Danio rerio: one gene and its partner. The protein of the gene in region 2 purifies or fractionates together with the protein of the main gene of each other region. This does not show direct contact. Links are inferred from orthologs where the notes say so. Each region holds a gene or a part of one and is shown on either strand. Other genes may lie near its edges.

Evidence for each region. Proteins that work in one complex are often made in the same cells at the same time.
Region 1: the proteins of luzp1 (region 2) and dapk3 purify together in Homo sapiens (affinity purification with mass spectrometry; 3 studies listed by BioGRID and IntAct, with this or other methods). This does not show direct contact. The link is inferred for Danio rerio from reciprocal best matches to the Homo sapiens genes LUZP1 and DAPK3.

Annotation. Positions count from the first base shown.
Region 1 is NC_133177.1:40,496,545-40,507,502, reverse strand, and holds part of dapk3 (death-associated protein kinase 3), read left to right. Parts: intron 1-1,664; 5' UTR 1,665-1,764; intron 1,765-2,471; 5' UTR 2,472-2,497; coding exon 2,498-2,559; intron 2,560-5,734; coding exon 5,735-6,095; intron 6,096-8,019; coding exon 8,020-8,149; intron 8,150-8,228; coding exon 8,229-8,277; intron 8,278-8,369; coding exon 8,370-8,396; intron 8,397-8,480; coding exon 8,481-8,633; intron 8,634-9,810; coding exon 9,811-9,856; intron 9,857-9,935; coding exon 9,936-10,469; 3' UTR 10,470-10,958. UniProt on the Homo sapiens protein: Serine/threonine kinase which is involved in the regulation of apoptosis, autophagy, transcription, translation and actin cytoskeleton reorganization. Involved in the regulation of smooth muscle contraction.
Region 2 is NC_133192.1:29,483,121-29,494,709, forward strand, and holds the start of luzp1 (leucine zipper protein 1), read left to right. Parts: upstream 1-5,887; 5' UTR 5,888-6,079; intron 6,080-6,193; exon of another isoform or gene 6,194-7,161; intron 7,162-7,240; exon of another isoform or gene 7,241-7,284; intron 7,285-11,589.

The sequences.
Region 1 (10,958 bases), on a different chromosome or scaffold from region 2:
GTAATCAGATTTTTAGGTTTATGGATGGATAATAAATTAACATTTAAAATTCATATTGAGAAATTAATTGAAAAATGTAAAAAAGGAATAAATGTATTAAGGTGTTTGGCTGGAGTTGAGTGGGGTGCCAGTAGTACAGCATTAAAAAGAATTTATAATGCTGTGATAAGGTCAAACATTGATTATGGGTGTATGGTGTATAGTTCTACTAATAAAACATTGATTAAAAAAATAGAGGTCATACAAAATCAAGCTCTGAGGATATGTTGTGGTGCTTTTAGATCTTCTCCAGTGGCATCATTACAAGTTGAAATGGGAGAGATGCCATTAGAACATCGAATGTCTCAGCTGAGAATGAGATATTGGATAGGAATAAAAGGTCATTTGGAAAACCATCCTGTTAGATGTCTTTTAAAAGATTGCTGGGAGTATGTGTACAAAGAAATAGCAAGTTTTGGTTGGGTAGTAAGAAAGGAAATAAACAGTTTAGAATGGAAAGATCTGGAAGTTGCTCCATCTGTCATTATACCAACAATTCCCCCATGGGTGTTTCCTATGCCAGTAGTAGATCTGCAAATTCATGAAAGAATTCAAAACAAGGAGATAATTATTCCAACTAAATTATTAGTTCAAGAATATATCCAACAGAATTATTATTCTGTATTACAAATCTTTACAGATGGGTCGAAGGAACCTAAGTGTGGAAGAACTGCTGCTGCTGTATATATTCCACAATTTAACATCAAAATTGCAAAGAGATTATCAGATCACGTGTCAGTGTTTACCTCTGAATTATTAGCTATTATTATAGCACTTCAATGGATTGCAGAAGTCCAACCAGAAAAAGCAGTAATTTGTTCGGACTCAATGGCTGCACTTAAAAGCCTTCAAAGTGCCAAATCTGAAGCTAGACAAGATTTAGTATTTGAAATTTTACAAAATTTATTCACAATTAGGCAGTTAAGAATAATGGTTTCATTTCTCTGGGTACCGGCACATGTGGGTGTAGATGGGAATGAGGAAGCTGATATGCTAGCAAAAAAAGCTTTAAATAATGAGCAAATAGAAATTAAATTAGCATTAAGTAAAACAGAATTTAAAAGAATGATTGCAGTCGAAATATATAAGAAATGGCAACAGGTGTGGAACAAGGAGACCAAAGGAAGACATTTATATCAGATTCAGGAATTTGTAGGAAACGGGAGGAAAAGATACGGATATCGAAGGAAAGATGTCATCATAACAAGACTAAGGATAGGCCATACGTCATTAAATTACAGCTTGTATAAAATAGGAAAGCATGAATCAGGGAAGTGTGATAATTGTGGAGAGTTGGAAACAGTCAATCATATAATTTTAGAATGCCCAGCTTATGAAAGAGAGAGGTTTGATTTAATACAAGAATTAGGACAGCTGGAAGATAAGGTAATTTCTTTGAAAGTATTGCTAGGAAACGGGCTTAGACAATCAAAAATTCATGAGATATTAATTAAATATTTGGGAAATATAGGAATAATGCATAGAATTTAGTTTTTTTTTTTTTTTTTTTTTTCTTTTTTTTTTTTTTTTTTTTTTTTTTTTTTATATATATAATTTAATATAGTCATTTAATGTATATATAAGTGTTTTCCTTCTACTCCAATTATGTACAATCCACACTCCAGATCAGTAGGTGGCGGTAATGCACCTATTTTTGTTGGTTTGCCAAACCGCCATAAAACACCAGAAGAAGAAGAAGAAGAAGAAGAATGCGGCGACGTTAAGGTATGTAAAAAACTCTCAGCGTTTGTTTTTTATCCACAATTCGTTCTTTTGGATACTATTATTTATATGGTAGATAATATCCTGTATATGTATTCCGTTATTTGTCAACGAACGTAGCTTGCTCGTTGATCGCTAGTCGTTTCTTTTACAAGTTAGCCAGATGGCTACCTGGAATTAGTGCTTCGGTAACGTTAACGTTAGATATGTTGTGGATTATAAATATATATGTATGTTATTTTGTATTCGTCTCACGAACTCTTTCGTAACTTTTCAACTTATTTTCGACTGTGACACTAAAATAAGCTAAGTTAGTTGTTATCTTAACGTATTAAGGCTTGATATACACTTATTGCAGATTCCGAGATGTTTGTAATTTCTACTGGACTGTAACTTAGTAATGATATATTATCTACTGTTAAAGATCTTTGATATAGACAGAAAAGTAAAAAAAAAAAACTGGCAACCCTCTACTGTGGGTAATGACGTAAGTAGGAATAAAATGTGCAAATTATGCTAATGCAAGTTCACATTCCCATGTCTATTTAAAGTCCGTTTTTCTGAGGTTAAAGCAAATACTGAAGTATGTTGACTTTCCACAACACTGACAAACCATTTATAGCCATTGTCATTAAAGTGTCAGCATCTGGTTTAGTCAAAATTGTTCAATTAAGTCTTATCAACTCAGGTTTTTGTTTCCTTTCTAACAGGCTCATTAATTTGAAGTCAGCAAATCATGGCTGGCTTCAGGCAGGAGGATGTGGAGATCTACTATGACATGGGAGAGGAGTTAGGAAGGTAAGAGATGCCATTTCACTCCTTGAAACTCTACATCTACTTAAATCATTTTACATATAATAGATAAAACAATGATTAAAATTCAAATTAGCAAATCAATGCTTCAAAAACTATTTTTATTTTTGATGAAGAAATCAGTAAAGTTCTGTAATGATGTAGAATTTAAAGGAATAGGTCATACTGTTTGTCCTAGAGTTGCCAAGGCAATGTAGTGTTTGTGCTTATCAGTGCAGAACAAAAACAAACATTATGAAAGCCCTGCAATTTAAAAAAAGCCCAGCACACTCACTTAATCATCTGCAAACACTGAATCAAGCCTAGTCTTTCTTCCTATATATGGATGTAGAGGTTTCTGCTGCAGCATGACATCACTGCTTTAAAATGCACATGCTCAGTGTCTGAGCCTGAGAACAGCTGTACTGCAAAAGAGACTATAGTGAGGCTATGAGAAAAATACACAAGGACAGTAACTAATGATCCATACAGTGTTTATTTTTTTAAGAATAGAGAGCTCCACATCATAACTTTAACATTAACAGCACAGAAGAACAACATTGTTTGAGTCACTTTAAGATGCTGATGCTGCTGATGATTTCCAGCTGATGGATGATAAAAACATTGGCAGCCAGACCTGCTTTTATCAGCTCAAGTATTTAAAGCCACAGATGACAGAACAACTTTATTATAAATAGTACTTAAATGTGCAATGGAGGATATGCTAAAATGGTTATTGCTCATGGTTTAATAAAGTCTTTATTCAAATTTACAGTAAATGTTTTATTTTGTGCAATGTTTGTACTTCGTTTATGTCATTTTTTGCATTTAGGCTTGTTTCTTAAACAACTTTCAAAAATTGGTGATGTAGCCTTATATTTAGTCAAATTTAACGTATCTGTTTTTAAGACTTTATGTATAAGTATATTTTTATTACAATTTTGTGAATCACTTATAACAAAGTAAACAAACAAAAGGTCAACCAAATGCAGATATGTCAATGTGTTGTACAAACTATAGTTTCACCTTTCCAAATCTATAGTCAAGAGTGTAATAATTTGTCAAACTTTATCATAACAGTGTGATCTATTTATTTATTGTTATCTAATTCGTCAACATGATGTGAGTGAATTGTAGAGCTGGTACTAACACATATTATGTCCAGGTGCTTTCTTAAATGCTGTTTTCTCATAGCATTTTATTGGATTAAATTTGTTATTGAGAGGCAAGTGCTTTTTATTAGTTATAGCTAGTGCTTAATTTGTAAATGAACAATTTCTAGAAACAAAACCAGGAAATAAAAGTTAGAGTGACAGACGCCCACCAACTAAGCGGTTATATAAAAAAAAGCATCACATTTCTGAACAGTCTTTAATTATTTGTGCAATATAACGTTATAGGTCAACCATGGATCAAACAAACATGTTACTACAAACATAAATCGTATGAAACATCACTTTTCAGTTTACTAACATCACATTCAGTTCACTTCACTATTGAAGATGACCCACTCTGTCTAATATTCAAGAAGAGCCCAGTTTCCTTTCCGTCATGTTTTCTGGCTGACTTGAGTTTGCTTCTGTCTCCTGCTATCCTGATCCAGGGGTGCAGTTTCATCTTCTCTTGATCAGACTCATTGTCTTATTTACTTGTAATTTTTAAACAAATAATATATGCTTTACTGCCTCTGGCATTTTGAAAATACAAATATCATTTGGGTAAGCCACAATACCATTGTTTATTTTTCGCTGCTCACTGTGCGCGAAACAATAATCACCAACCAATGAGAGTGATTGTAAATGTAAGAAAGCTGATTGGTCAAAAGTGGCTTATTTCTGCATGAAAATGGCAATGCACAAATTCAGACAGTAGTTCACTTAATGGCCACTAGTATCGATAATAACAAGGTATTCCAACACAATCTCACAGCAATTCGTAACTTTTTGATTTATTGGCTAATTCATATGAATTCGTATGATCTAATTCGTATAATTTAGTTTGATTTGCGCATCCCCCAATGACGGTCGGGGTTAGGTGCCACGCCTCCTTTTTAAAATCGTACAATTTCGTACGACTGAACTCATACGGATTTGTACGAATTAGCCACTAAACTGGCAAAACGTAAAATACTTACGTTTCCTCGTGACATCAGGCTGGGTATTCTGTACACCACTGTTTCCCAATCCTGTTTTCGAAGGCACACCAACAGTATTGACTCTCTTCCTATTTAAACACACTTGAATCAAATCATCAGAACATTAGAAGAGAACCTGAAATGTTACCTCGTAAACCTGAAATGAATGCTTCAGATAAGTGAGGCCATGTCCACACACACACGGGTAGTTTTATGAACAGTTTTCCTAGCTTTTGTTTTTTTAAATAAATCTCTGTCCACATGAAATAGCAAAAATGCATTGTGATGCATGTTATAGGGATGCCGAATCAACAGGTGGCGATAATGACACTTATATTCAGCTCACACCAGATGGGAAATTCATTATATTACACGAATACATTGCATTCAAGTTTATGCAAACGTGAGTTCAGAGGCGCAACAATGCAGAATACACGATTAATTTGCTGCAAATGCGCAGAATTGGCCTCATTCACGTTTTCCCTGTTTGGAGTGAACCCAGCCGTGTTGGCCAATCAGAGAAGAGAAAACAGCAAAATATGTACTGTTGGTGTGCCTCCAGGAACAAGGTTGGTAAAAACGGCTGTACTCTACTACGCGTTGCCCCTGAAGGCTATACCCTATGACTACACATTAGGAGCGAGTGTTTAGTAAAATCATTCAGATGCAGTGATGTACAACAACATTTTATGACCTGACAGGTTACGAGGAAAATGCATTATATTCCAGAATAAAAACATGGCCAAAGGAAAACAATAATAGTTTTACTGCATTCAGAGCATCTCTCTCTCTTCTCTCTTTCTTATAAGAGTTTAATATTACAAGCCAAGAATATTTGTAACACATACAGGTTCAATTTCAGCACTGGGAAACCAGGGGGCCTGGTCACCCCATGTGTGGGACTGAATTATAAAGCCTAAAAAAATGCATCGTATCATATGAAAGCAAAAATTGCACGTTGTATATCCTATTCAAACTATTACAACATCATAATTTTCCCCTTTTTAATTGTTGTTTTTCTCTGCTTCAATTTACTGTGTTTCCCAGTGGCCAGTTTGCCATTGTGCGTAAATGCAAAGAAAAGAGCAGCGGAACTGAATATGCTGCCAAGTTTATCAAGAAGAGGCGTCTGTCCTCCAGCAGACGAGGCGTGAGCCGGGAGGAGATTGAGCGCGAGGTGAACATCCTTCGGGAGATTCAGCACAGCAACATCATCACACTCCATGACATCTTTGAGAACAAGACCGATGTGATCCTGATCCTGGAGCTGGTGTCTGGAGGAGAGCTCTTTGACTTTTTGGCTGAGAAGGAGTCACTTACTGAGGAGGAGGCCACGCAGTTCCTCAAGCAAATTCTGGACGGAGTTCACTACCTCCACTCTAAACGCATCGCTCATTTTGACTTGAAGGTACAATACTGTTTTGTTTTTTATGGGATACCGTGGATAAAAAAAAACTTGTATGGTTTGATAACTTAAATTATGTCTCTTACTAAAATATGTAGTTGAAAACCAATAAAAGATTTAAGCTATTTAAAAAAACATAAAATCTTGACTTAGAGGGTAGGGATGTAACGGTATTGTAAATTTTTAATTTTAATTTAAAAAAATATTAATTTTTTTCGATATTACCGAAGTCGCATGACTCGGTAAAACTATAGATCTTCTGAGAAAATTTGCTCAGGCGAATGAAGCGAACGGGAGGTAGCGGAAACTACAATTCCCATCAGCCCATGCTTGACCATCATCCCTTGCGGTCTGTTGTCGCTACAGATCCAGTAATGCGGAAATGGAGTGTGCTGCTAGAAGCGGGGATGAAAAAGAGCTGGAAAACTCTAAAGCGGGTGTTGTTGCGGCGCGCGTACTGAATAGCGGTGTTGTCGCGCGAGTTCTTATCAGCTGTGTTGTCGCGCGCGTACTGAATAGCGGTGTTGTCAGCACACTGTTCAGATTGATGCAGACATGAGACCTCTATCTTACTCATGGTTTGTCCTCTCAAGTGGGGGAAAGACAATGCACAACGTTACCCACTGCTGTCAACCTGGGCCAAGTCATATCTCTCTTGTCCCAGAAACCTCAGTCCCAAATGAGAGGGTTTTTTTTCTGTTGCAGGGGACATTGTAAATGCCCAGAGATACCAGCTTTTACCAGATTATATTTATATGATAATTTTCCTTTAAACCCATCTCTATCTAAGTGAGTGAGTGATTAAATGTTGAATGTGATGAGTTTTCAACAATACTAAATTGAAACTTTATTTTTTTACATGGTTTAATATTTTTTTGTTATTAAAATTGAAGTTCCTGTTTCAAAGCTTACAGATAGATGGCTAATTTGTATGTCATTGACACTTTTGGCACTTTTTTGGAGTATTTTCATAAGTTTTGTTTTTTTCTGTAAATGATTCAATAAATACCGTACCGTGACATTCATACCGAGGTATTACCGTACCGTGAAATTCTGATACCGTTACATCCCTATTAGAGGGTCATTAATTTAGTTGTACAGTACTTGAAATCCGAAAGTTGCTCACGGTGAACTACTAGCACTGTTTGTTTCCTTTTTTATGGCAACACAACTTGGGAGTTCAAAACAGTAATACAATGCCACATTGTTGGGATTTTTTGATGTAATTTTCAATTGAAGGGTATCAATATTCAGTTGAAGTTCTAACTCCTGTTTGTGTTGACCACCAAAAGATAAAAGTTTTATTGTACCTTTATTTTTATTTAGACCAAAGAGCTTAGAATGACCAAGAGGCGACACTCAATAGAACGTTCCATTGCAACAGCAGCGCCCAGCAACAGCCCCAGATTCCGCCATTTTGGAGTGAAAGTGATCGGCCGTCCATTGGATCTCATTACTGTCGCGATGGCAAGCAGCTGCGTTGTTTTTAATTAATTTATTTAAAAACCCCATTAAAGCAGAGATACAACCTGAAAGACGACAATACAATATTTGTTATCAAAATCATCAGCACTTTTAATAGCTTATTTTACTGACTTATAATATGCTGTTGTTCTATTGGAGTTTTCATTCCAAAATGGTCCCCGCGCCCTCTAGTGGCTGTTTCCCAAATTACAATAGAGTGTCGCCTCTTGGTCATTCTAAGCTCTTTGTTTAGACAAAGAAAACATGAATAAAATGTAAATATTAAAAGCCATAAATATTAGTGGAATATTTTCTAAATATTTTCTACTACATATTTTGGTAATAGACATATTTTTTATTAAATGAAGCTATACAAGTTTTTGCTCTTTTGTTAACGTAGATGCACGAAGACTCTCAATATTTTACATGTATTACAATAGTCTTGTCTCACTGTGTTTTTCAGCCTGAAAACATAATGCTGTTGGATAAAAATGTGCCGAACCCCAGAATCAAGTTGATCGATTTTGGAATTGCACATCAGATTAAGGATGGAAATGAATTTAAAAACATCTTTGGAACTCCTGAGTTTGTTGGTAGGATTTTAAGCTGCGTTTAGCTCTTAGTTATGATAACATTTATTAAAAAGTCTTAAATTTCCAATATCTTCCATAGCACCGGAAATTGTAAATTATGAACCCCTTGGGCTGGAGGCAGATATGTGGTGAGTCAATCGTTTAGTTGTTTAATTTACATTGCAACTCTAAGATGTTCGGTTCACAATTAGTCATGATTTATTTGTTTTCTTTCCTGCAGGAGTATCGGAGTTATCACTTATATACTGTAAGTAGTTGTTATCATGTTTGGCTGTATTGATCACATTGTATTTGGCTTGACAAATATTAATGCATTATTTACGCTTCTTAGCTTGAGTGGGGCTTCTCCATTTCTTGGTGAGACCAAACAAGAAACACTTACCAATATTTCAGCAGTCAACTATGACTTTGACGAAGAGTACTTCAGCAACACAAGTGAACTCGCGAAGGACTTCATTCGCCGACTGCTCGTCAAGGATCCCAAGTTAGTAGTATAAACCAATGTGGTCACTGAAATAAAACAAAACAGAAATATTGCATTATAAGCTTTTTCCACTCTCAAGCTGAACGTCAGGTACGTTTTCAGGTGTGTTTCAATGTGAGCCTTGAACAGCATGGCAACAAACCATTATAAGCCCAGAACTCTTGGCATGGTTAGCCAACTGTGTTGGGCTGGTAGAGCTTGTGTGCACATGTCATCACCAGTCTGTTTTCTGGCTACCAGTTTCTACATAGCTGGCTAGGGAGAAGAGTACGATGCGAATTACAGGGGGGTTTGATTAAGGCTTGAAGAACGTCAACAAGATGTATGGGGGGTTCTTTTTTATTTGAGAAAAAGTTCACTCTGATCTGTATTTTAAATTATAATGTTAATAATTAAAATAATAGATATCCAATTGACCAACGGTTCATACCATTTTGAATGCATAAATATGCCAATCAGTCTATGTGCAAAAAAAAAAAGTCAATCAACAGTCTGAAACCAGCAGATATAGAGCACCAATAGACACCTTAACACTCCACAAGACTGAATTCTCATAATATAGGTGTTTGTGTCTATATAAAGCCTAAAAAAAATCTAATTAGACTCATAGTTTGTATAGTTTGACCTAAAGTAAGCCGAAATAGCTAAGCAGGCAACAAATCGTTTATGTATGATTTGCACAATACAGAAGAGCACTATGCATTTAAATATTTGTGTTTTTTCTAAATGTCCTAAAAACATCTGATCACTGTCCATTTTGCATGGTCCATATTGTTACCTATTGCATGACTGGTGCATTTGTATTGCATTCCAAAGAGTACTGGTAATAGCACCACAGTAAAAAATGAAATCATTTCCTGCTGACTACACACAGTCAGAGTCAGATTGGAATTAAGTAAACAAAACCATTCGGCCTGATAGTGGAAAAGTGGCTAAAATCATCAGTAATTAAATGAAATCAGTTAAAAATTATTTTAAACCTTATTTAACCTTAAATATGTTTTTCCCTATTTAGTTTTTTCAGTTTCATGACATTGGCATATAACAGAATGACATACTAATAAAGTTAATTTGAAACATTTGTAAATACTATAATTAAAAATATAAATATTAGCAAACCAAATATTTTCATTTGTTTGTATTGACATTTATCTTCATATCTGCTTTTAACAATCAGAAAGAGAATGACAATCGAGGACAGTCTCCAGCACTCGTGGATCAAGGTTCAAATATTTTACTTTTCCTCCCATTTGACTTGTGCCACCATTTGTTCAGTGTTTAACACAGTTCTTGTCCCATCAGGTCATTAAGAGACGAAATGTTCGACCCGAAGAGAGCGAGCGCAAGCCTGAACGCAGGCGTCTGAAGACCACCCGTCTCAAAGAGTACACCATCAAATCCCACTCCAGCATGCCTCCCAACAACACCTACATCAACTTCGAGCGATTCTCCCAGGTCATGGAGGAGATCGCAGCGGCCGAAGAAGGCCTGCGAGAGCTGGAGAAAAACCAACGATCGTGTGGTGAGGATGTGACCGCTCTGCTCTCAATATATGAGGAGAAGGAAAGCTGGTACAAAGAGGAGAACGAAAGCATCGCCGCAGACCTCAGTCAGATCAAACAGGAGCTGCAGAAAGCACAAGCCCTGCGCAGACAGAGCCAGGAGGAGGCACGTGCTGCCATGCTGTCAGCTAATGCCCTCAAACGCAAATTCGGACGACTGGAGAACCGATACGAAGTTCTGGCTGAGCAGATGGACTCCGAGGTGCGCTGGGTGGAGGAGCTGGTGCGCACCATTTCAGCTGAAAACCACACTCGCAGCACCAGCATGGCTTGAGGTTTGCTTTTTCAATCTAATAATGGCTATCTACTATCTTCGCTTGGTGTGTGCAGAGATATATAGTGTTAAAAGATTAGTTCACATCCAGAATTGACATTTTTTTTAATGATTTGTTTGCCCCCTTTTCATCAGAGTTATTCATTGCTTTCTTTAGTCGAAGAAATCAAGATTTTTAGGGAGAATATGCTGGATTTTTTTCTCTTCATATAGAGGACTTCTATGGTGTTCAATAGTTTTTAAACTACTCTAAAAGATTTCAGATGAGGAATAAGAGTCTTACCCAAAGAAATCTGATATTTATGTTTAAAAGTTTATGATCTTCTAAATAATGACTAATCGTTTTGCTTATTTTTTCGTCTGTGGAATCCTTTGAAGCTGCATGAAAACAGCAGGTTGGATGTTAAATCCACAGAGTACAATAGAAGTCCAATATATTAAGAAACTTCACGTTTTCCTCAAAAACCTTCATTAATTTTCGACTAAAGA
Region 2 (11,589 bases):
AAGGTTTGCATATAGCAGGGAACCGGACAATAAAACTGAAATGCTTTATACCTTTATGAGACCTATTTCGATATTTCCACAAAGACCTACATTTGTAGATGGTTTTAGTATCTGGGGCTGTGTGAGTTCTTCATACTGATTGCAACTTTATTTTAAAATAAGCATTCTGTTTTGTGATCTTTCAAGAATTTTAAAGCATACTACATACTAAATGTGAATTAGTCTGTTAAGGGGTGGGACGAATGAAAACATTTCTAGTGTGTTATGTAAGAGAATGTTTTCCCACATATTTGGTTCACCTTTCACCAATCAGTGTGAGGTTATGATGTTCTCCCCACCTACAGGCTCTCTTGCTGGGACATGCAGTGGCTTTACACAAAAAAAAAAATAATTAAAGAGTGAAGGACTTTGTTTTGATTTCACCAGTGACGGTTTGTGTAGGAGTTCTGAAATTCACTTGAGAATATTATTTGACATTCATACTTATAACCAAAAATACAAGTGATCAGATGTGTAAATTAAAAAGATAATTAAATTGCTGTATTAAAATTACTTCATTTTAAACACGATTACAATGCAACAATTAGTTCTGATTCTTGAATCTGATTGGCTGAGAAGCTTTTCTTGCTATGTGATGTTCCACCAGAATCACCAGACGAATCACTTCACAATTTGCTTCAATATTGCCTTCAGCATTGCTCACAATTAGTGTTGTGGTGGAAAAATGTTTTTTGAAATTAAAAAATACTAAAAAGTTAAAAATACAATACAGGGGAACAGCAGTTATTTAGACTTTATTTATAAATGTGGGGCCTATTAAAAAAATGTTTCAGATCATCAGTAGCTGTTCTTCGCTCATGTACTCATACAGGAAATATCCTTTCCTCAAACACTTCTTCTGGAATATATGCCAATGTATGCCTCTATATGCCGCTGTGGCGTAATGAATAAAAGATATGGCTCTGTAGTGGTTAAATGTGAAACAGAGTTCATTTTGAGTCTATTTGATGTCAGTATTTTGTTATTAATTTCAGAACAAACATTTTTGATTGAAGTTTGATTTTGATGCCGTTTCAATTTTAATGCCGTATTTTTGACTGATTGCCTTTTATAAATATTTATAATAACTTTTTTAATCATAGCTGATGTTTATTAAATATTATGCTAAATAAATATTCATTTATTAATTTTCTTTTCGGCTTAGTGTCTTTATTAATCTATGGTCGCAACAGCGGAATGAACCGCCAACTTATCCAGCACGTTTTACGCAGCGGATGCCCTTCCAGCCGCAACCTATCACTAGGAAACATCCACTCACATCCATTCACACACATACACTACGAACAATTTAGCCTACCCAACTGACCTATGGTGCATGTCTTTGGACTTGTGGGGGAAATCGGAGCACCCGGAGGAAACCCACGCGAACAAAGGGAGAACATGCAAACTCCACACAAAAACGGCAACTAACCCAGCCGAGGCTCGCACCAGCGACCTTCTTGCTGTGAGCCGACATCGCTTCACACTGCACCACTGTGCAGCCTCTCTCAATAAATAATCATTTCTATATTAATAGTGTTTATAAAAAAGTATTTTGTTTTATAAAATGTGTGTGCAGGCTACATATGCTTTGAAGACAATAGCAAAAAAAAAAAATGTTGATTTACAGAGATAGAAGCAAGGACAAAGCAAGGACATTATACTTTCAATAAAATGCAACCAATCTCGTCATGGGAGAAATAAATAGAAAGATTGCTTTCTGCCATTGACATATATGCTATTAACAACATGAGATTGTATGTGTAAACAAATAATCTAAAACAATGACATTTTATATAGGGCAAAATGTTTTTATCATAATATATATCACAAATGCAACAGGCTAATATCATAGACACTGTTTCTGTTCATAGACATATGGTGAAGATTATCCTTGACTATGACAAGTGTAACTACAGCCACTCTGAGGCTACTAGGCTCTTTTTAGCATATTATTTCTGCCATGTGCTTATTCGGGATCACTGCCACTGGAGAAAGACTTAATTTTAACGGCCATCCCCTTCAGTGTATAATATATATGAAGCTTACACTGTTATGAAATGAGCCTGGTTCATTGATGTCTACTGGCCAGTTAGAAAAACACATGACTTGTTAAAGTTGCTCTCATATTGCATCCATCTACAGTACATATCAATGAATATACAGTATTAATCACTCTCATTTTGAATACAAGAGCCTCTAAATACTACCTCCATCTTGACAGATTAGAATAGATTTGCATTTTGTATTGTTACAATTTCTCATAGAAACACTGTTCGTGTGTGTGTGTGTGTGTGTGTGTGTGTGTGTGTGTGTGTGTGTGTGTGTGTGTGTGTGTGTGTGTGTGTGTGTGTGTGTGTGTGTGTGTGTGTGTGTGTGTGTGTGTGTGTGTGTGTGTGTGTGTGTGTGTGTGTGTGTGTGTGTATATATAGTTCAGTGAGTGCGTAAATAGTAAATTTCAGTAGTAGAAGAATATTAATATAAATGTAAGGATATATATATGCTTTTTGCTTTTAAAAGCAAAGCAATTATATCTATATATATATATATATATATATATATATATATATATATATATATATATATATATATATATATATATATATATATATATATATATATAGATATATATATATATAGATATATAGATATAGATATAGATATAATTGCTTTGCTTTTAAAAATCGGATCCTGTGAATTTGGAGTTGATGAATGAACTCACCATTGAGACTTACATTTTCACTTCTTACCTCTTCTCTAAGAATTTTTTTTTTTTCTAACGAGCAATCACAATGCCTTGCTTTAAAACAACTAATGAAACGAAAAATGAACACAATCTAAAATCAGAGTGGTTGCTAAAAATATAATGGTGTTTGTGAGTTTGGTGGTCTTGCGGGCTGAGACTGTACAACAGCAATCAGATGTTGGTTCAGATTCTGCACTGGAGGAAGTCTTTCTTCTGGATTGCTGCCTTTTTTTAGCAGTGGGTATGCTATTTCTGACCGCTACTTTTGTAAAAGTGAAGACAAGTAATATTCTATTTCTGCTGATGGAAATAAGCCTAATATGATCCTCTGCATGGTTGCCTTTGCATAACATATTCTTGTCTTTCTGCACTGTAAAGACATCAATGTATGTTTTATTATTTAAATATACCAAGACATTTAAATGTCAAAGAAAAGTTATTATTAGAGACGTTAATTAGTGGTGTTGTTAATATCTAAATTTAATTATAGTTAATGAAATTGTAATTATGTTAAAGATAGCATTTCAATAGAAATGTACAAATAAAAAAACACCCAAAATATAATCATAAAGATTAAACCAATAAACCAATAAAATAATGTTTATTCAGTGGTTAGCACTCACACTTGCCTTACAGCAAAAAGGTCACTGGTTCGAGCCCCGGCTGGGTCAGTTGGCATTTCTGAAACATTTCTGAACATGAAAACGGAGTTTTCCCCGTATTGGCGTCAGTTTCCTCCACAGTCCAAAGAAATGCGCTATAAGTGAATTGAATAGACTACATTGGCTGTAGTGTATGTGTGTGAATGAGTGTGTATGGGTGTTTCCCAGTGATGGGTTGCAGCTAAACGGTCATCCGCTGCGTAAAACATATGCTAGAATCTAGAATAGTTGGCAGTTCATTCCGCTTTGGCGACCCCTGATGAATAAAGGGACTAAGCCGAAGGAAACTGAATGAATGAATAATTATAAAAATTCCTTTTCTGGCTTTTTAATATTATGCTTAGATGATAAAATTGTGTAGTTAGAAAAAAAATTGCATTTAGAAGTTGTTTTCTTTTTGACTTTATTATAAAAGTCATAATGATTATTTTATTATACTTTAATGTTTTTATTGCAACATTGCCTGATAGCAGAATGGATGTGCTCCCATGTGGAGTAATGCCACAAAGTCCTAATTGTGTGTGTTGGTTTATTTTCCCTCAGAATAGTTCACTGTACCTTTTGCATAATAATATTAAAACATATAAATAAATAAATAAAAATATATATTCACATAATTATATAAATATATAAAACAAAAGTGACATTATGTTATTTTTTATACCTATGTTTAAATGTTTTTATTAAAGCATTGCTTGATATATTTGTTTTATTTGCAAAAAAAGTTGACATGTTGGTATCAATATTTGTATACGATACAGAATATGAATTCAGTTGTCAATAAAAAAGATATAAGAGAAAGAAAGAAAGAAAGAAAGAAAGAAAGAAAGAAAGAAAGAAAGAAAGAAAAATGGAAAATAATATAATAATTATTATTTTATAATAATAGATATGTAATCATAATAATAGATTATTATGTTCTTATAAAAAACATGAAATAAACTTGAGGGTAAGACGTTTAAGAATCAATTACAAAATAAAAATTAAATAATGACTAAATTCTTGCAAAAAAAAAAAGGAAAAAATGGTTTGGCATTTGTAAATTTGAAAGGGACTAAGCCGAAAGAAAATGAATAAATGAATGAATTAGTAAATGTGCATTTGTGGAATGGAATTACAAATAAAATAAATAAAATTTATAACAAAACAAGCATTTCTTTTAGTAGAGAGAGATTCATAATAACCAAACATAACATCTTTAAAAGTAACTATCTTATTGTATATAATCATTAATAAATTATCCAATATGTTTCCAAAATTGTACAACATAATTACAATACCAAAATAAATAAAAAATAGTTTCAGTATGAAACTTGCAAAATTAACATTTTACATCAATATTAGGATTAAATTTTTTCATAAATTGTTAAATAGGATACAAATTGCTGAATAGGGTGACACGGTGGTGCAGTAGCACAAGAAGGTCGCTGGTTCAAGCTTGGTCAGTTGGCATTTCTGTGTAGAGTTTGCATGTCCTCCCTGTGTTTGTGTGGGTTTCCTCTGGATGCTCCGGTTTTCCCCACAGTCCAAAGCAAAATGCGCTATAGGTGATTTGGGTACGCTAAAATGTCTGTAGTGTGTTTTCCAGCATTGGGTTGCAGCTTAACTGGCATCCGCAGCAACATGTTGGATAAGTTGGCAGTTCATTCCGATGTTGTGACTCCAGATTAATAAAGGGACTAAGCCAAAAAGAAAATGAATGAATGAATGAATGAATGAATGAATGAATGAATGAATGAATTAATGAATGTGTGGATCATTTTAAAAGATACTTATTTGACTTTATTGGTGAGGACATATTTTTGTTGCAAAGACCATATTTTTCCCATTTCAAATCTTTCTATAAATTATTTCAATAGAAAATTACAAGTGACAATGTAACAACATTTTCAATAAAATGAGATCTAATTTTGTAATTTCTATATTTTTTTATGAGAAAAAAACATTTTTACCAACAAACATCTCTGTCGGATCAGAAATATAAACTTTTTTTAGGAGGGGGAAGTTTGCTATTTCATAGGGCATAGAAATTGCTGATGCACTGCTTGATATTTGGTCACAGAAATCACATGCGAAGTGACATCACAAATGACGACATACAGAATTTTATTTTATGTTTTCATTTTTTGTTTTCACTGTGAAGCATTTTTTTTACAGTACTCGTGTATTCAGTTAATTTTTATCTACATTTTTAATGTTTGAATATCTGATTTATTCTGCTGTAGAGCTAAATAAAAAGTCGAGCTCTAATATGAACTATCTGAGTTCCCGTTATTCCTCTGGCTTCCTCTAGAGCTTGAGTGTTGGAGTGTCCCGTCGCTCGCTCGCTTGCTCTCTCTCTCTCCTCGGGGAAGGCGGGATCGTATTAGCCGAGCAGGGCGTTCTTTCTGCGGTCACAGGCGGCGTAGTCCTTCTAGGGGTGGGTCTTTCTTGGCAAAGGAAAACCCACCTTTTTCATTGTTTGGATCTCGAAGGAATGTGATGGTTTGATCCTGCTGCGCAAGGGAGGGGGTGAGAGAAGGAACCAGCGCGGACCCTGCTGAGAACTGCTCAATTCATCCTCAAAAAGTCAAACGCGGTTTGCCCTTCCAGAGAGCTACCTCCGAAAACAGGTCTTCTCCGGGTGCTCAAGGTAAGAGAAATTTGTTGCTAGTTTTAGTGGAAGGGGAGCTGAATGGTGGAATATGGCCCCCTAGACACAACTCCAAACTGCGGCAACTTTGCCACCCTCCTCCCCCTCCTGTTCGCTGCAGCGGAGGAGCTCGATGATAAGCCGGACTGCGGCGATTTTAGTCCGGTTATTTAGTGGCTGGTGGAGGAATGATAGCGACGTAGAGATGCAGAAGTAAACTTAACTGGGACTTTCCAAACCGCGGGTGTTTGTAGCCGAGCGGTAACTGAAACAACCGATTTATGTTGTGATTTTTTTAGGCTAAACCAGAGATTCAGTAGGGGTTGTTCTACGTCAGCAGCATCACACTGTGTAGCGAAGTAAAGTTTACATTTGTAACATTTTTACCCGATTTGCACTTTGTCGCGCGCGAGCATTGAAATGTCAAACCGATTTACAATCCACGCCACGTACACCCAAGAATATAGTGAGTTTTCAGACAGGAAAAGTCGCTTTCTCTGAGAACAATACCGCAGACGTTGAAGGAATTTGGGTCGACGTGAGTCAAAGTCTAAATAGTTTGATTTTCTTCTTAAATAAAGCGGTTTTCCACGTGCCCTTGAAAGCGTTTTCTTCCTGCGTTTCTGCCGAATAAGCAAGCAAGATTCAGCGGTGTGGGACTGGGACGCTCATGTTCGCCTGTCAGATATCCCGTGTTAAATTTGGATTTCTGTATCGTAACGTGCAGCTTTTTTAACGCAGTGTCTGTCCTGACCAGCATTACTGTCGACGGTACTGACACGAATAGAAAATGTATTTCAAGTCATTGCTATTAATGTTGACAGCCGTTATTAGAGATGCGAAGTGCGTGCACACACACGCTGACAGACTCAATTAAACGCGTTTGATGTCTTTTAACAGAAGCTTAGCCTTAAATGGTTCATATTAAGGCTTTTATCAGAAGTGGGAAGTCCTGTTTTTGCCTTGGCCTAAAACCCAGGTGTTTATTATTTGTGACTTGCGTGCTGTGTGGGTACAGAACCAAGGGATGTCATGTGGAGGTCAGGCTGGTTTGGGCTTTGCAATTGCATTTGTGTATCTTGGTATGTTCATGTCTAAAATGTTTAATAATTTGGATCGTTTGAATCTCTTGACTAATTTGGTTTGCTTTGATTTGTTCAGACTTTTCCCTCAGGTTACATAAGTACGCCAGTAGGTGGCGAGAAGTAAGTCCTAGTACTCCACACTTCCTTACATAGTATGCATGAAGTATGCTAGTTAAGTAGAATAACTTAAAGTATAGTATTTATTAGCCCAGTGGTTCCCAAAGTAGGTTCACAGGGTAATGACAGGGGGTCGCTTGGTGGTTTACAAAAGTCAAATAAATTATATTAAACTATTAAAATAACCATATTTTATCCCTAACCCACAGAAAAGAGTAGTTAATAGTTGCATTTGAAACAAAGATGTCCAAAGTAGGCACGTGGGCCAAGGTTGGCCCATTGTAACCTTTGATTTGGCCCACCATTTCATCTTAGAGAAGCGAGTATGATGGTGATAAATCAAGGCAAAACAAGTGTAATTCTGTCATAAATGAGATTGTTCTGTTTTTATTGTTATAAGTTCATAAAAAATGTAAATGAAGAAACTGTATTAGTTAACAAATATATATATATATATATATATATATATATATATATATATATATATATATATATATATATATATATATATATATATATATATATATATATATTATATAAACTATAAAATTATCCAACTATATTTACCTCTGGCCCACTAGCCTCAATCAATTTTGTTTTTTTGCCCTTAATAGGAAAAAGTTTGAGCATCCCTAATATAAAACAAACAACATGCAAATGAAAAGCCATCTGCCTTTAAATGATTTTTTTTCATGGGATTGGTGTGCTTATGTTAGATTAACAACAAAGCATTAGCTGCAGCAGATTGATTTTATAGCACCAGGTTACACTTTCCGACGCCTTTATTAAAATCAAATACATTAAAAATAAATACAGACCACAACTGAATATTGAAAATTGATTTCTGATAGGCGTTTCCAAAATTAAACCAAGAATAGATGCTTAAAACCTTGTGTCCACCAGTCTCTATTGGTGAAGATAATAATAAATTAAACAAATTATTAAATGACTAAAAAAAATGACATGGTACATAGTTTTTTGTGTTGTCAATATGTTTGTTTTTATATAGGCCTATTGTTGTCTACATTTGTGTATTTATATTTTACACGTCTGAAGAATTTGAGGGTCGCAAGTCACTGGCATTGTTATTTTGGGGGTCACAGGCTGAAAAGTATGGGAACCCCTGCAAACGCCAAATAATAATTTACTTGCATATTTGACAGCTGCTGTTTATGGCATGTGAGCTAAGAAATCAAAGGTTTAAACTATCAAGTGAGATTTCCCGTTCATTTCAATGTTGATTTCACATGAACTTTAAAAATAGAAGTCTCTCATTTTGTATACTTTTGCATTATTTTGTGCGATTTTGTAGAACATGTTAGTTGAGTAGAGTGTTCACACTGAATATTCCATCAAGGAATAGTCTACTTGAACACTTGATTAAAAGAGTTTGGAATCTTGGACACATTACAGGCTTATTTGTAGAGTTTATACAATGTTAACGATTATTTCAGTAAAGGGACCTTTTTATTCCAGATCCAGATTCCAGATTTTTCTCATCAGTTTGTTTAATCTAAAGCAAGTAGACATATTTGCATTTTCACATAGTGTTTTGATTGACCTCTTGTCTATTTTCTAGCACTTATTTCTTTGAGATAAGGGTCTATTGACAAGTCACTCGTGTATGCATGCACAATATCTGATGAGAAGGAACTGTTGAAAAAGTTGTCGTTATTTTTCTTTTCTGTGTGCACAAAAGCATTCTTGTAGCTTGATAATATTCCAATTGAACCACTGAAGGCATGTAGTCTGTTTTGAGCTTCTGGACCTTTATGGACTTTGCACAAGTCAGGAATCTTGTGGTCTGTAGAGGACGATTCTCTCAGATTTAATATAAAATATCATAATTTCTATTCTGAAGGAGAACAAATGTTTCAGAGGTTTGGGACAACATGAGGGTCAGCAATCAATCATTGCATTATCATTTTTGGGAGAATTTACTCCTCTATACCAGGTGTAAACAGAAGCTACGAATGAAGTAAAGCACTTACATGCTAAAATAAATTGTCTTCAGGAATTAAAAATCAGTGTGTGAAAGAAAGCAAAAACAATTAATGTAATTATAAGATAACATTGATTCAAAAACAATTATTTATGAACAGAATTGTTTGTACACACACACACACACACACACACACACACACACACACACACACACACACACACACACACACTCACAAACGAGTCTGCATTTGTCAGGTAGGCTGCAGCGGTGACGGTTGGGGGGTTGGGAAACTGACATGAAAATAAAACACTAAGCACAGAAAGAACAGCAGCAACCCCCAATACAAGCTCCATTACATTAGGCAGGTGGGGCCCATAAAGCAAAGACGGGGAGGACGAGTGCAGAGAGGACCTGCCATGACCTGTCCCGACTTAAATGCAGAGCACTGACGGATTTCCAGTAAGGCCTGAGAGACAGCGCCTGTCAGGGAACACTTGTGTCAGTGTGTTCAGTATGAACAGTAAATTAGCCTTGTGAACTAAATACTGTTATGGATACTGGCACTTGATAGCTTATATGACACTTATATGACTCTATAGCTTTAGACTTGAATCTTGCACAAGCCCTGCCTTTGTGTTGATACAGGAATTTTATGGAGTGGAGATTAAATATTTGAACTTCATGTGAGTTTCTATGATAAAGTAGCATAGTTTGACAGACTGAATTGGAGTTGGTTCTGAATGGAAGTCAGGCCGTGAGGTTGTTTAAAACCAAAGGACGATTCTGGAATGCCAGGAGTTAAAAGTTTAAAGTTTAACACTGTTTTAATTTAGAGTTTTGCTGTACCTATCTTGTTGCATTTTAGTGTGATCTTTAAAGCTTCTCAGTGCTGGGTTGTCATCATAAAAAAGTCACATGTTGTTCTGCTACTCATGCATTTAGGGAAGCAAAAGAAAAAAATATATTGCACAATAATTAATGCTAATAGTATTTATTTTATTTTAAATCTATTCAATTCAGGTTTATTTCTATAGCGCTTTTACAATGTAGATTGTGTCAAAGCAGCTTAACAAAGAATTGAAACTGTGTCAGTCCAGTTGTCAGAGTTCAGTTTAGTTTAGTTCAGTTCTGTGTGGTTTAATATTCACTGCTAAAAAAGTCCAAATACTGAAGAGCAAATCCATCAATGCCCAGCTCCACAAGCCCCAACCAAACAAGCCAGTGGCGAGGATCAAACTTCAGCAAATTGACGAAAGTAAAGGGAAAAAAAATTGAGAGAAACCAGGCTCAGAAATATATAATTGGCTTGTTTATATTTAAATCAAATATTTTATTTATACATTTAAAAAATACTGTTCAGTCATTTTAGGTTGGAGAGTTTTTACAAAATGATTTTAATGCTTTCATTTGTTAAAAAATAGAATAAAATAAAATGTAATCATTGATTCTATAATTGGATTTTTGTATCGTAACGTGCAGCTGTTTTTGACGCAGTGTCTGTCCTGACCAGCATTACTGTCGGCGATACTGACACGAATAGAAAATGTATTTCAAGGCATTGCTATTAATGTTGACATCCGTTATTAGAGATCTGAGGTGCATTCACATACGTGTTCTCACTCTTTGGATGTACATGATTACGTAGGGCTGGGCCACTTGGCATAAAAATAAAATCTTGAATAATTGAACATTTTAAATCAATTACAGTTAATAAACAATTATTTTATTTATTAAAAAAGGTCTTTTATTTCACTGACAAGTATAGTAAATATGCTCACATATTACAAGGGAGAGATTTCTGAATGAAGGGTGTATTACTTGATATTAAGTTATTTGAAGGAAACACACACCAGCTACTATCTATGATTATTTATTGAACCATCCTCCTTGAACAACTGAAATTGAAAACGCATGTTGCCTAAAACCAACAGTCACTTTTTTTCGAAAATGTTAAAATAAATCAGCTGCGTATATTTGAGCATGCAGTAAGTTTTGTGCATGAACGTTCACGCGCTCATACTACATCATTGCACTCTCAGCTTGTAATACTGTGCTCACAACATTTGTCATTGAAATAACTCCATAGAGATCAAATATGGCTGGAAAGTGCTGAACCTTTTTCAGTTTTGTGGGGTCATGTGATTCGAAAGGAAAAGTAGTCAACGAATCGACATGGAAAAAGAGCTCGATTAAAGGTTCTGAATGTCGATTTCAGTTAATCACTCAGCCTTATGATTATGTAATCAATGATGTTGAATTGGAGCTCTAGAAAAGTCATTTAAAGTCAGAACATTTGGGCTGTTCGATGATTTTCTGTAATAACGATTTTGTGCTTGTATTTATGTAAAAGTAACCCCAGCAAC